Linked DNA regions of Canis lupus familiaris. The protein of the gene in region 3 interacts with the protein of the main gene of each other region in a biochemical or structural test. Links are inferred from orthologs where the notes say so. Each region holds a gene or a part of one and is shown on either strand. Other genes may lie near its edges. The genes, in order: PPP1R11, PPP1R7 and UBXN2B.

Region 1 (4,220 bases), on a different chromosome or scaffold from region 3:
TGCTTCTGCCTATGTCTCTGCCTCTATTTCTGTCTCTCACATAAATAAATAAATCTTTTTTTTTTTTTTAAGTAATTACAAGTATTCCATGACTAAATGTATTTGGTTCCTGAGTTTAGGGAAACAAAGCAGGAGCCCAGATGCTGGGAGATAAGCAGATAACGTAACCAGATGTGTCTGACGTGTGAGCTGGAACAAGGAGAAGTCTGATACTAAGGTTTACCAGTATATGCTGAACACATTGGACATTTTGAAAATTGTATTTTTTTATTGCTGTTGACATAAATGTATATTCATTGTGATAAATTCATATATGGAAAGGTAGAGTAAAAAATGACAAGGAATCCTACTTCAGAGAGATACTTTTTTTTTTTTTTTTAAATGGGCTTTACTACGAATACAAGTTGTATCTTGCTTTTTATCACATTGAACGAAATTTTGTAGTCCGGCCACAATAAACATTCAAACTTAGTTTGGAGTCAATTTTTGCATTCCTTGGCTTGCACACTGCCCGGTCCTTTGTGTGTTCTGAGCTCTGAGACTTTCCCTGAGGTGTCTGAGCCCCGGGCGACGTAGTGGGAACTGATGGGACGGGCAGGGCGGACTTCCCTGACCACTTCTGTTAACAGGCATCGTCCAGAGTCTCCTCCCCGGTTGCTGCCGGATGCCACCGCCGGCGGCGGCCCTCACCCCTCCCGCCGCGGCTGGTGCAGGCTCCCCAAGCTTTCCCTGCAGAACCTCATGCCTGCAGCACGCACCTGGCCTCACCCGCACCTGCCAACCAGGCCCCTTTGGCCATCTCTGCCCGACAAAAAGGCAGGTGCTCCGTGGACCGCAGCTCGGCCTCTGCTGTCGGTAGCTCTTGCGGGCCACTCGGTAGCGGATTTCACCGCCACGCCCCGCAGCCTCGCTCACGTCAGCATCTCAGAGCCCGCACGTTATTCCTACACCCACGAGGCCCCCAGAGGACTGCGGGAGGCCGAGGAGGGGGAGGGGGATTCCCGGCGGCGCCTAAGGGAGCCCAGCCCTGACCTGGCGCTTGCACCTGCTGGAGCTCCGGGGCCGGTGCTCCAGTCCGGGACCAGGCGCCGCGCGGCGGGGGTCCCGGCGCCCGCACCACGCACCTGGGTAACCGCATCCCATACCCTGCGCCCAGCCAGGGACCTGCGCCCCGCCCCCGCGGCCCTCGGGGACCGCGCTCCCGCCGGGTCTCGGGCCGCGCCTGCGCAACGTCCGCTCCCCGCAGCGTCGCCTTCTCTGCGGGCTGCGGCACCTGCTCACCGTCACGTGACGGGAGAACTAGTCCGGCGGCGCATGCGTCCGGAGACCTTCGGCGCCAGGAAGGGACGGCGACGGCGGAGTGCGTCACACCCGGAAGCGGCGAGCCGGAAGTGGAGCTGGGCAGGTTACCCCGGGGGGAAGCGGAGGCCGAGGAGGAGGGGCCGAGGCGCTGGAGGGTCCTGGCTGCTCCTCCGAATCCGATCCCGATCCCGATCCCGGTCCGGTCGTCTTAGAGCTCGGAGACACCGGGAAGGCCGCTTCCTGCCCCGCCGCCCTCTGCCCTCTCCGCAGCCTCAGCCATGGCCGAGGCAGGAGCCGGGCTGAGTGAGACCGTCACGGAGACCACCGTTACCGTGACAACTGAGCCCGTGAGAAAGGCGGGGGACGGTGGCGCCCGCGGCGGGGACGGGGACGGGCCGGGGGCGGGGGCGGGGCGGGGTCAGGGCTGCGGAGGGGGCGGGCGGGGGGGGGGGGCGTGCTGGGGACTCGGAGCTGGCGCGGGAGCCTAGGGGGACCCCGGGGGCAGGGCCCAGCGGTGGTTCCGTTGCAGAAGGCGCACCACAGGCTCAGAGTCGGGGCGGGGGACCCCGGGGCGCCCCCTGGGTCGGGAAGCACCTGACGGACGGCCGCCCGTGAGCGCCCCTCGAGGACACCAGGGCATGATGTGGGAGTCCGAAGAGGTGCAGCTCGGGACCGGAGTGCGCTGGGCTGCACGCCTTGTTGAGGGCCCTGGCAGGACCGGGGCGGGGGCTGGGTGCACGGGTGCGGGCGCAAGCCCGGGAGGGTCCGGGGATCCTCACAGTGAGCCGCAGGTGAAGGTTAGGTCCTGGGCGCTGAGAAAATCCTCCTCGAGCATTAGTCACACCGAGGCCGATGTGGGGAGGAGGATGGAGAGACGGAGAGGGTTGAGCTTTCCCTGGAAGATGTGCGGGGACCCTCCTAGGTTAGTTGTGTTTTCTCTGTCCACGAAGCTGGGATGGACACAGAATATGAAGCGGCAGAATTCCCCAGGGACCCGGAGGTCACACACTTGTGCGCTACCCCACCTGCGCCGGGCCCCTCTGCCACCCTGGGTGGGGCCTGATGGACTGGGGTGGGGGGTGCTGGGAGACATGACCCCCCAGGGAGGGATGAGGAAGGGACGGCCAGAGGGGACCAGATGGCTATGTCTGTCTTTCCCCACCTTCCAGGAGAACCGGAGCCTGACCATCAAACTGCGGAAACGGAAGCCAGAGAAGAAGGTAGAATGGACGAGTGACACTGTGGACAATGAGCACATGGGGCGCCGCTCATCCAAATGTGAGTGCTCACTGCCCTGCTGCCCATCCCCACCCCACCACCCAGCTCTGGGTGGGGGAGCCCAGGTGCCTCCTCTGTGCCCCCACCCCTCTTGGCCTTCCTTCTCACACCTGACCACCCTGAGGCCCCCAGCTGCTAACAGCCTTGTCACAGCCTGGGTGGTTCTCTGGCTTCGGGGACATGGATTAAGGTTATAGGGGAGACATGGAAGTGCCTGGGATTGGCAGGTTTGTGTGCCTGAGCCCCAGGGGCAGCGGGGCTAGAGAAGCTGGACCCTGGAAGGAGAAGGAGCCAGTGCTGACACCCAATAGGAGTACAACTGATTATATGTTAACTGGTGCTCCTTTCCTGGCCTCCTCCCTCCGAATCCAGGTTGCTGTATTTACGAGAAACCTCGGGCCTTTGGCGAGAGCTCCACTGAGAGTGATGAGGAGGAAGAGGAAGGCTGTGGTCATACACACTGTGTTCGGGGCCACCGCAAAGGACAGCGTCGTACAACCCCAGGACCAAGCCCCACCAGCCCTCCGCAGCCTCCTGACCCCTCCCAGCCCCCTCCAGGGCCAATGCAGCACTAAATTCCTCTCTCCCCCACCACTCCTGTGTTTGTCTGGCCCTGACTGTATTCATGTGGCTACCTGGGGACTAAACCCACATGGTTTGATCCCTCTCCAGCCCTTCTCCCTGCTCCTCTGCCTGACGGAGGGAAGATAGGAGGGTCCACAGAGATCCTGGAATTCTAACTTGCTGCTATTCCAGAGCCCAGACTTTTGGGTTCCCCCAGCCCTCGTTTCTCCTTCCAGTATTCATCCTCTGCTCTCCAGGGATTCAGGCGTCACGGTCCTCGTCTCTCCCCTTCGTTCTCACTGCCAAACTACCTGTCCTAGGATCCAATTATCGTGTGTGGCCCCTTGCATTCTTTCCTGGAGTCCCAAACGCTGAAATGGGGTTTTCAGCTGCCCCGGCTTTCACTGCCAGGGTCCCTGTCAGATTGGGGGCAGTGTTCCCCAGCTATGCCTGTTAATCCTGGCTCAGAGTTCTTCCAGTTACATATTTATATCACCCGAAGTCCTCGTCCTTACCTGTGGGATCCAAGGTCTCCCAGGAGACCTGAGGGCTCCCGGCAAGCTCCCGACCCTTCCCCTCTCCTGTCCTCCTCCCTCATGCCCTCCAGAGGAGCTGAGGGAGAGAGGTCTGTGCTTTCTCATCTTTAATGGGAGATGTAAAAGGAAACAGGTATGGCCTCTTCTCACCCTTCTCATAAGATAAAGGATTGCCAACACTTGAAGACTGGTCACTTAGAGCCAACAATCTCCTCCGTCTTCTGGCATCAGAGACCAATCCTACACAGTCCCAGGGCCCTGGGTCCCTGAGAGAGGAAAGAAAATGCAGGGAGCACAGAGAAGGGGCATGTCCCAGACAGTACCCTCATCCTCCTGCCTTCCAAAGCCCAGATGTCCAGCTCTCTGCCCTTCCCACTCCTTACTGGGATCTTGACATTTTCTAGGCCTCTGTGCCATGCACAGTTGCAGAGATGAGTCAAATCCATACCACCACTGAGATCTCATTTATTGCCACAGATGCACAAAATAAATAACCCAACATCACAAAACGTGTTTAATATGGGCCCATTTATACATATG
Region 2 (4,192 bases), on a different chromosome or scaffold from region 3:
CAGCGGGAGAGCGCGTTGGGGGGAGCGGGAGGGGGAGCCAGAGGCGGGGGAGCCGCGGGGCGGGGGGGCCTGCCACGGGACGCGCCTTCCCGCAGGAGACGGGGCAAGGACGCCTAGAGAACGCAGGCTGCCAGCTCCGGGCGGACTGTGCGCGGGCGCGGCCGGGCCCCGGGCACCCCTACACACACCCTCGTTCTCCCCGGGCCCCCCCCCCCACACACACACACGCGGGTCTCCCCGGGCCCCCTCCCCCTACACACACACACACACACACACACACACACACACACACACACCGGCCTCCCCCACACACGCGGGTCGCCCCGGGTCCCGGGCCAGGGCACCGCAAACGGCCGCAAGGTGGCAGCGGGCCCCCCCGGGCGGAGCCGCACGGAGGGGACGCGGGGGGCGCGGGGCTCCCGGGCTCGTCCGCCGGCCGCCTCCCCCGGGGCAGGCATCCATCTCACCTGCGGCCCGCCTGGGCCAAGCCGCCAAATTCGCCTCGCCGCGCGGGGAGGGGCTGATCGGCCGCACCGGCCAATCGCAGAACGACTCGCGTCGATGGACAGGCGCCGCGAGCCAACCAGTAGCGCCTGTGGGCGGGACTCCGCGAGCCGGCGCCCAGAAGCCCGCGCTAACGGTTGCTAGGGACGCACCGGTCTCCCCTTACGGCGCCCCGGAGGAGCCAAAAGAGACGGCGCCCCCGCCCACCGGGTCTGACCAACTCGGCAGCTCTGGTCTCCGAATCCGGAAGGGTGAGCGGCGCGGGGCTCCCCGTCTGCAGCCCGGGAGGCGGGGGGCGCGGGGAGGCTCCCTCAGCGGCGGGGCCGGCGGAGGCTGCGGCCCGCAACGATGGGCGACGTCCCGGACCCCGACGGGCGCCCCCCCGCCGGCGGGCGGCCCCGGCTCCGACCCCGGCTCCAGCGCGGGCGCCCTGCGCGGAGCGTTAACCGGAGGCAGCCGCCGCTCACGGACTGAGTCCGCGCAGCGACGTCGGGACGAAGTCAGCCGCGGTGCAGACGCAGCGGCGGAGCCCGGAGGGGCCGGCACGCACTCGGGGGACCCGCACGGTGCAGCCCCACGCGGAGACCCTGCACGAGCCCGCGCGCCCCCAGCATCTCCCAGGCGCTTCCCTCCGCTTGCCTGCAGCCACGGTCCCGTGCGTCTTGCTCCTCCCCGCTGCTCGCCTCCGGACGCCTCCGGACGCCTGCGGTGCGCGCTCAGACTACCTGTCCCGGGGAGGTGAGGCGGGCTGCTCCCGCGGCGGGGGCCCTCATGGCCTGCCCCGTGAACTACAATTCCCATGAGACACTGGGGCCGCGCAAGCGCGTCGGGGTTCAAGCCTGGCGTGGGAGCCCATTGGCTGAGCTGGCGCCGAGCCGGGAGCCCTGATTGGCCGAGGGGCCTGAGGCCACAGATTCCGGAAAGGGGAAGAGCAGCCAACATGGCGGCGGAACGCGGCGCGGGCCAGCAACAGTCGCAGGAGATGATGGAGGGTGAGCGGCTCCGCGGGGCGGCGGCCCGAGGGCCCGGGCGGGCGGGGGGCGGCGGCCCGCAGCGGCCTCGCCTGAGAGAAGCGGGCCGTCCGGGCTGCGGCTGCCGCTCCGGCTCGGGCCCCGCCGCGCGCGCTGACAGCTGCCGGCTCGGGGGCAGGGGCAGGGGCAGGGGCAGGGGCGGCCCCGGCCCCGGGGACCCGGCAGAGGCTGCAGCGGCCGGGAGGGCGCGGGCGGCGGGGCGCGGACGGGCGGCGGGGCCGGGTACGCCGGGCGTGCTGCTGGCGGGCGCCGCGCCCCGAACCTCCGAGCCCGGCAGCTCCTGGGGAAACTGAGGCGCGCGGCGGCGCGGAGGGAAGGGCTGGGCGGGAGCCGAGCGGCCCGGGCCCTCTGGCCCCAAGACGCTAAATCCGACCCTTTAGCTCCGTTGGAAAAAAATAATAATGATCCGCACGTGGTGCCCGCGTCGGCGGCCTGGGCGGGGGTCCCGGTCGGGGCAGCCCCTCACCCGGGCGCCAAGTGCCGGGAGGAAGGGGGGGCCCGGGCACCTGCACACGGGGCCGGGGGAGGACGGAGGCAAGGACCGTGGAGGGAAGCGGCCAAGAGTGACCGCCCGGTCGGAGGAGGGCGGCAGGGGAAGGCCGGGGCGGCCCCGCGAGGGGCTGGGTGTTTGGCAGCCAGGAGACAGCCCTCGCTCCGTCCGCCGCACGTCGCCCTTTCGGAGTCTGGGTGAATGGCACGTGCAAAAGCCAAGTGATTCCGTCCCCGGCCCGGCCCGGCCGTCCCCACCCATCCCGTTACCCAGCAAGCTCCCTAGCACGTCCTGGCATCTCCAGGTCTTCAGTGCCTCCTCCGTTCCCACTGCCCATGCTGTGGGCCAGCCCCTTGCTCCCGGGATCCCGAAACTGCACCATAATTGGATCCGCTGCCCCAGCTGCGGACCGTCTGCTGCCTGCAGGGTGGTCCCGCGTTGCACTTTGGCCTCCCGTCGTCAGGCGGAGTCCCTGCCGCCCTGGGCACAGCCACACTATGCCCAGTGGAAGGCGCCCTCCCTTAGCCTCGGCCACAGAGTGCCCCGTGCGTGGTAGCAGCTAACTGCCGAGTGTTTAGTGCGGGTCATGCACATGCCGACTGCCCCGGAGGCTTTTCTGCGTTAGTCCGGACAGCACCTCTGGTCTGTGGGGCCTGTCCCAGCCCCCTGGTTACAGATGCAGAGAGCGAGGCTTGGGAAAGCCAACAGCCTGTTGGCACCGGGTCTCTAAGGGCAACGTGAAATCTTCAGCAGGAGCCCCCGGCATTCCAGAAACCTGTAGAGTCAGAGCTCAGATTCGGATGTTAGAATCGCATCAGATGCTCTGGGAATGCAGAATAGATGAGACAAAGCCCAAAAAAAAGCCACAGAGAGACCAGTTAGGAGGCCAGGAGGGAGCCCAGGCAGTCGCCAGAGGGGGGCAGAAGCAATGGATTTGGCGGTTTGGGAGGCGGAGTTCATAAGGACTTGGTTTTATCCAGCAGTCGCTTCCCAGGCGCGCTTTTCTCGGCCCAGGAGGAGGTACAGAGAAGAAGTAAAACTACTTTTCCCCCAAAGAGTGCACCCCTTTGTGGACGAGGCGTAGCAAGGATGATTGAGGACTCCCAGGGATTTATTCCTGTTTCAGCTCTTTGAGACAGACTGCCAATGGAGACGATGAAAAAAGTCTGGAGAAGGGAAGATTATTTGACGGTCTTAGCAAAGAAATTTTGCCAGTCTGCCACGTTTAGTCATTGCCTTATCTATCAATTCAGAAAGTACTTATTTACCAGCCTTTCAAAGCAGTTAGCTGGTATCACTGTGTGCTGATGTTTGGCATCGGTGACCTTTATGTGGGGCGTTTGGCGCTACTGGCTGTCTTCGCCTTTTTCATTACAGCCCCCCCCTCTGCCCACAGTCTGATTTGAGTTAGTCTTGATTTCTTTCAGAACGTGGGCCTGTGAACTGGGCTGGTTTTCTTGGCCAAATGGATAGTGGAGCGTGGATGAAGGTATGTGGTGGAAGGGTCACACTGGTCCCCTCTACGTGGACATCCAGGCCAAAAGCAAGCCGCACAGGAGGCGTTCACTGTGTGTCACCCATTAGTACCTGGTCACAAATGACCCAGGGCTTTCAGAACACCTGGTAATGCTTCACAGTGTCCTCGAGGGCAGGAATAGTAGCTGCTCATCTCAGTACCCGCGTGTCCTTCCCGCTCTGCCCTCCCACACACAAATTGTCCCCAGCACCGTGCACCTCAGGTGGCGCCCAAGACGCGGAAGACACTCAAATGTTTGTCGAGCTGACTTCAACCGATGTTTTTCAATGAAGTCTTTTTGACTTACAGCTGGATGTCCGTCTGTTAAATGTTCCTCGGGGAGTCACGTAAAGTGGCTGTGAATTCTTACGGATGTGTGTGGGCTCAGTTGACAGGCGGGTCGAGTCTGAAGAATCTGGCGATGAGGAAGGGAAGAAGCAGAGCAGCGGTATAGTGGCCGACCTCAGTGAGCAGAGCCTGAAGGATGGAGAGGAGCAGGGAGAAGAGGACCCAGAAGGTACCAGGCCCAGTTAAGAGCCTTCAACTCTCTAAGGGGGGAGGGTGCAGCCGTGTGGTGCATGATCTGCTCTGCCCCACCCCACCGCCTTGGGTGGTGGGCAGGCCAGGGCAGTGGGGGCTGCTCTGGGCAGT
Region 3 (3,591 bases):
AGGAGTGTAGTTGTCCTGATGAGCACTGGGTGATATACAGAATTATTGAATCACTATATTGTATACCTGAAATGAATATAACACTGTATGTTAACTATACTGGAATTAAAATTTTAAAACAAGTTGCATCACCTCATTCCCAGTGATTCTCAATATAGGGACTTTTTGTTGTCACAGTGATCTTGGAGTGCTTCTAACATTTAGAAACCCAAATTGCAAGACAGTAATTTATACCTAAATAAGCACTAGAAAATTCCTATGAAGACATAATAGTTAATGAAGATATTTATTTCTAAAATCTTTGGAAGAAGTTTTAAAAATTGATGTATTTGATTGTTATGTGGTTCGTGACTGCTGTTGTTCAGGGTCAGGATCCAGATACGAGATGCACTCTTCTATAGGGATTCATCTTGCCTAATCAAGTCTTGTCTTGGGTCCCACAGAACCACTGAATGCCCTGCTAGAGATTTGCATGAATGAGGACACTGTAGTGTCTGAGCCTAAAACTTAAAGCTTAAGGTCTGTCTTACAAAGAAGAAAAAAGGACTTTCTTTTGGTGGGGGGAGCATTGTATTAATACACTTTGAAATTTTCAGGAATACCTGTACCATATAAACCAAGAGAAGACTGTGTTTTGTTTGGAACTTTATCAAGTCCCTGACTACAAAGCCACTGCTAGTAATTATGCTGCCAACCGCACATACTTCATTATTCTGTTTTTATGTTTGTCACATTTTCTTGAGAAGTGCTAGACTGCACATAGGTGCAAACTATCTGACTACTTTTATTATGTCTTCTGGTGTGGTCAAATAAAAGCATTTATAAACTGAAATATATACAATTTTATGATATTTTATTTCAATATATTTAAGATAAATATTATATCTTTTGGGGGAAATAATATGTAGGGACAGATTATATTATCTATGGAGTCATTCTTTGAGGACAGTGAAGACAGTATTACAAAATAGAAGACAGCGATTTAATAGTTGACAACCACTATCTGACATCAGTCATGTCTTCAAGGACTCTTTTCTAAAACTGTTGTTGATCATAATTTGTACTTCAGGACATGATTAAAAAAAAAAAAATACCCTCTTTTAGGACATCATGACTGCTTGAACGTTAGCCCACGAAGTTTTTGGCTTATTTTCAATTAAGAATAAATGAGTTTTGATCTACATTATAGTACATTCATCATCAGTATGTTATCTTCCAACATCTTTGAAATAAGCATCAATTTCAACAACAATGTTGATCTTCCCTTAGCAGATGAACATTCCCTTACTTACACGTTCCTAGCTCTTTCTAGTGACTTCAGGTTTCCATGTCCACAGCACTGACTCAAATTATTATTTCCTTGTATTTATCACCACTATATACTACCTCCTTGGACAGCTCCCCACCTTTCTCAATGACTTTGGCATACTGTTTACAGTATTTCTTGCCATTTTTTGGTGTCCTGACATTATTTTGTAGAATTCAAATTCAAATTTCATGCTAGTGTTCTAAAGATATCGTTCCTTTAGAGGTCCTTGACTCCCTCTATGCCAGTGAGTTTCACCTCCACTCCACTTCAGCCACTCTCCTTGGACATATTTGTATCACTTGGAAAAGCCCCACCTTTAATTCCTGAATGGAGTATAACCTCCTACTTAGTCTCTTCACTGTGACTTAAATCTCCTAGTTCATCACCAACCTTTTGTGCTTGGTTGTATTTCTATTTAGGAATGATCACATTGTCAGCCAGTGAAAGAATGATGCAGAAAAGCTTTTATAATCATAGCAAAATCACTTGATTCTTCATCCTTTAGCAAGAGCTTAGTGAGCTATGATATTCTTTAGATCGGTCAGAGCACTGTATATCTGGTTTACTTTCACAAATTGTAACTTCAAACTAACTTTTTAAATCTTCTACCAGCAGAAATGCCACTTTAAAAGATTTCTAATATAAGTTGCTGAATTTCAGGCAAACATGCAATGAGAGCCATCCTGTTAACAGTAAGCAGGACAGTGGCTTAGTAGGATGGGCAGCTACAGGCTAATCAATTGTACTGATTTATTATATTGAGATGTTTCTTCTTGGAACGGGGACCACAGCTTGACCACATCTTGAAAGTGACCAATGTCTATTGCCCCTTCCCACCAAATTAAGAACCAGAGACTTATGGATAGCAATATATCCTTTTAGATACTTAAAAATACCCTTCCCCCTATTTACATAATATATTCTAGTACCTTAAAAATAAAAAAGTTCCACCCTCAGTAACAAATAGAATACAGGTAAATATATCTTACCCTCTTTTAACAGACTCCAGAAATTGAGCATTTGGTGGGTCATTATAAGGTCTCAGTTCTCCGTCATCTAAACTGAAACCATTACTCCATAGTTTAAGCAAAATCTGAACCTTTTGAACATAGGAAAAAAGATAAAAGAAATACAAGAATCCATTTGCATCAAATAATTTTAAGCTTCAAATGCGGTTTCACAACATATTAAACCACCTACTTTATTTCAAATATGGAGTTATTCATTCTATTCTTTAGTTACTGTTAAAGATGTAAATGAACGCATGAGTATTTGCTTGGCAGATTTGTATGTAACTTAACAAAGTGACAATGGCTGAAATGCCAAAGGTCTCACAGCTAGATCCTGGCCTTGATGTACAATTAGTCTGGGTCACTGAGAAAATGAAAGCGATTAGAGTGTCCAGCTGTTACTCCACATCCGCTTTTCTCCGTCATCTGTACCTATATTCTTGTCTGCTGCACAGGGCTTAAATATTTATGTCAAGGGGCAAGACAGAACTTTCAGTGACCCTATAGGGCTAAAGTACACATGTTTAAATGAAATTATAACTCCAAATTTTAAAAGCCAAATCCAAATAATGACTTTAGGGATTTCCCTGTTTATAACCTAGCTAATTCTCTATTAATGACATTATACTATTTATAATAATTACTGTATGTATATAAAGCTCATTTTGACAATGAATCCTATCTTTTTTCAACATATAGAAAATATTTACCATCTAAGTACAAGGCATAATTGAGACACAATATAAAATTTGAGACTAAAAGCTTACACATTAGTCTTAAAATCCAGGTTTCAAAAATAACAGAAATTATATTCATATTACCAATTTTTAACTTTAAAAACAGTAGTCACTAGAGGCAAATATCTGCAACTTTTCATTTTGGTTACTGTACCTACATCTTGCAGTTGATTTTCTCCATAGATGTATTCAGACCGCTTACAAAAGGAATTACCCAATCTGTATCCTCCACCTGTAAATGACTAAAATACATAGCAAATGAGCTAAAAATTCACTATGGTTTATCAGGAAAAATGTTATGGTAATGTGCGATATATATTTCAAAACTAGATCAGCTATAATTAGCCAAACCAGTTTATACTTTCCAGGAAAATTTTATATTAAAATGAAGGTTTTATGTTACTGAGAGGTATATACTTAAGTAAGAAATTATATTTCTTCCCATAAAACATTAGTGACTCAGAAGTTGAAATAATTTAGGCCAATCTTAACTTAAAAAATACATTTATGTACTGAAATATATATTTTCAAGTAT

What was found.
Region 1: the proteins of UBXN2B (region 3) and PPP1R11 form a complex in vitro, tested with the Homo sapiens proteins (2 studies listed by BioGRID). The link is inferred for Canis lupus familiaris from reciprocal best matches to the Homo sapiens genes UBXN2B and PPP1R11.
Region 2: the proteins of UBXN2B (region 3) and PPP1R7 form a complex in vitro, tested with the Homo sapiens proteins (2 studies listed by BioGRID). The link is inferred for Canis lupus familiaris from reciprocal best matches to the Homo sapiens genes UBXN2B and PPP1R7.

What each region holds. Positions count from the first base shown.
Region 1 is NC_049256.1:27,782,125-27,786,344, forward strand, and holds PPP1R11 (E3 ubiquitin-protein ligase PPP1R11), read left to right. Parts: upstream 1-1,350; 5' UTR 1,351-1,580; coding exon 1,581-1,649; intron 1,650-1,831; exon of another isoform or gene 1,832-1,940; coding exon of another isoform or gene 1,941-1,961; intron 1,962-2,471; coding exon 2,472-2,580; intron 2,581-2,952; coding exon 2,953-3,155; 3' UTR 3,156-4,189; downstream 4,190-4,220. UniProt on the Homo sapiens protein: Atypical E3 ubiquitin-protein ligase which ubiquitinates TLR2 at 'Lys-754' leading to its degradation by the proteasome.
Region 2 is NC_049246.1:51,237,890-51,242,081, forward strand, and holds the start of PPP1R7 (protein phosphatase 1 regulatory subunit 7), read left to right. Parts: upstream 1-1,341; 5' UTR 1,342-1,444; coding exon 1,445-1,496; intron 1,497-3,452; exon of another isoform or gene 3,453-3,514; intron 3,515-3,929; coding exon 3,930-4,070; intron 4,071-4,192. UniProt on the Homo sapiens protein: Regulatory subunit of protein phosphatase 1.
Region 3 is NC_049250.1:9,730,805-9,734,395, reverse strand, and holds part of UBXN2B (UBX domain-containing protein 2B), read right to left. Parts: intron 3,299-3,591; coding exon 3,215-3,298; intron 2,409-3,214; coding exon 2,299-2,408; intron 1-2,298. UniProt on the Homo sapiens protein: Adapter protein required for Golgi and endoplasmic reticulum biogenesis. Involved in Golgi and endoplasmic reticulum maintenance during interphase and in their reassembly at the end of mitosis.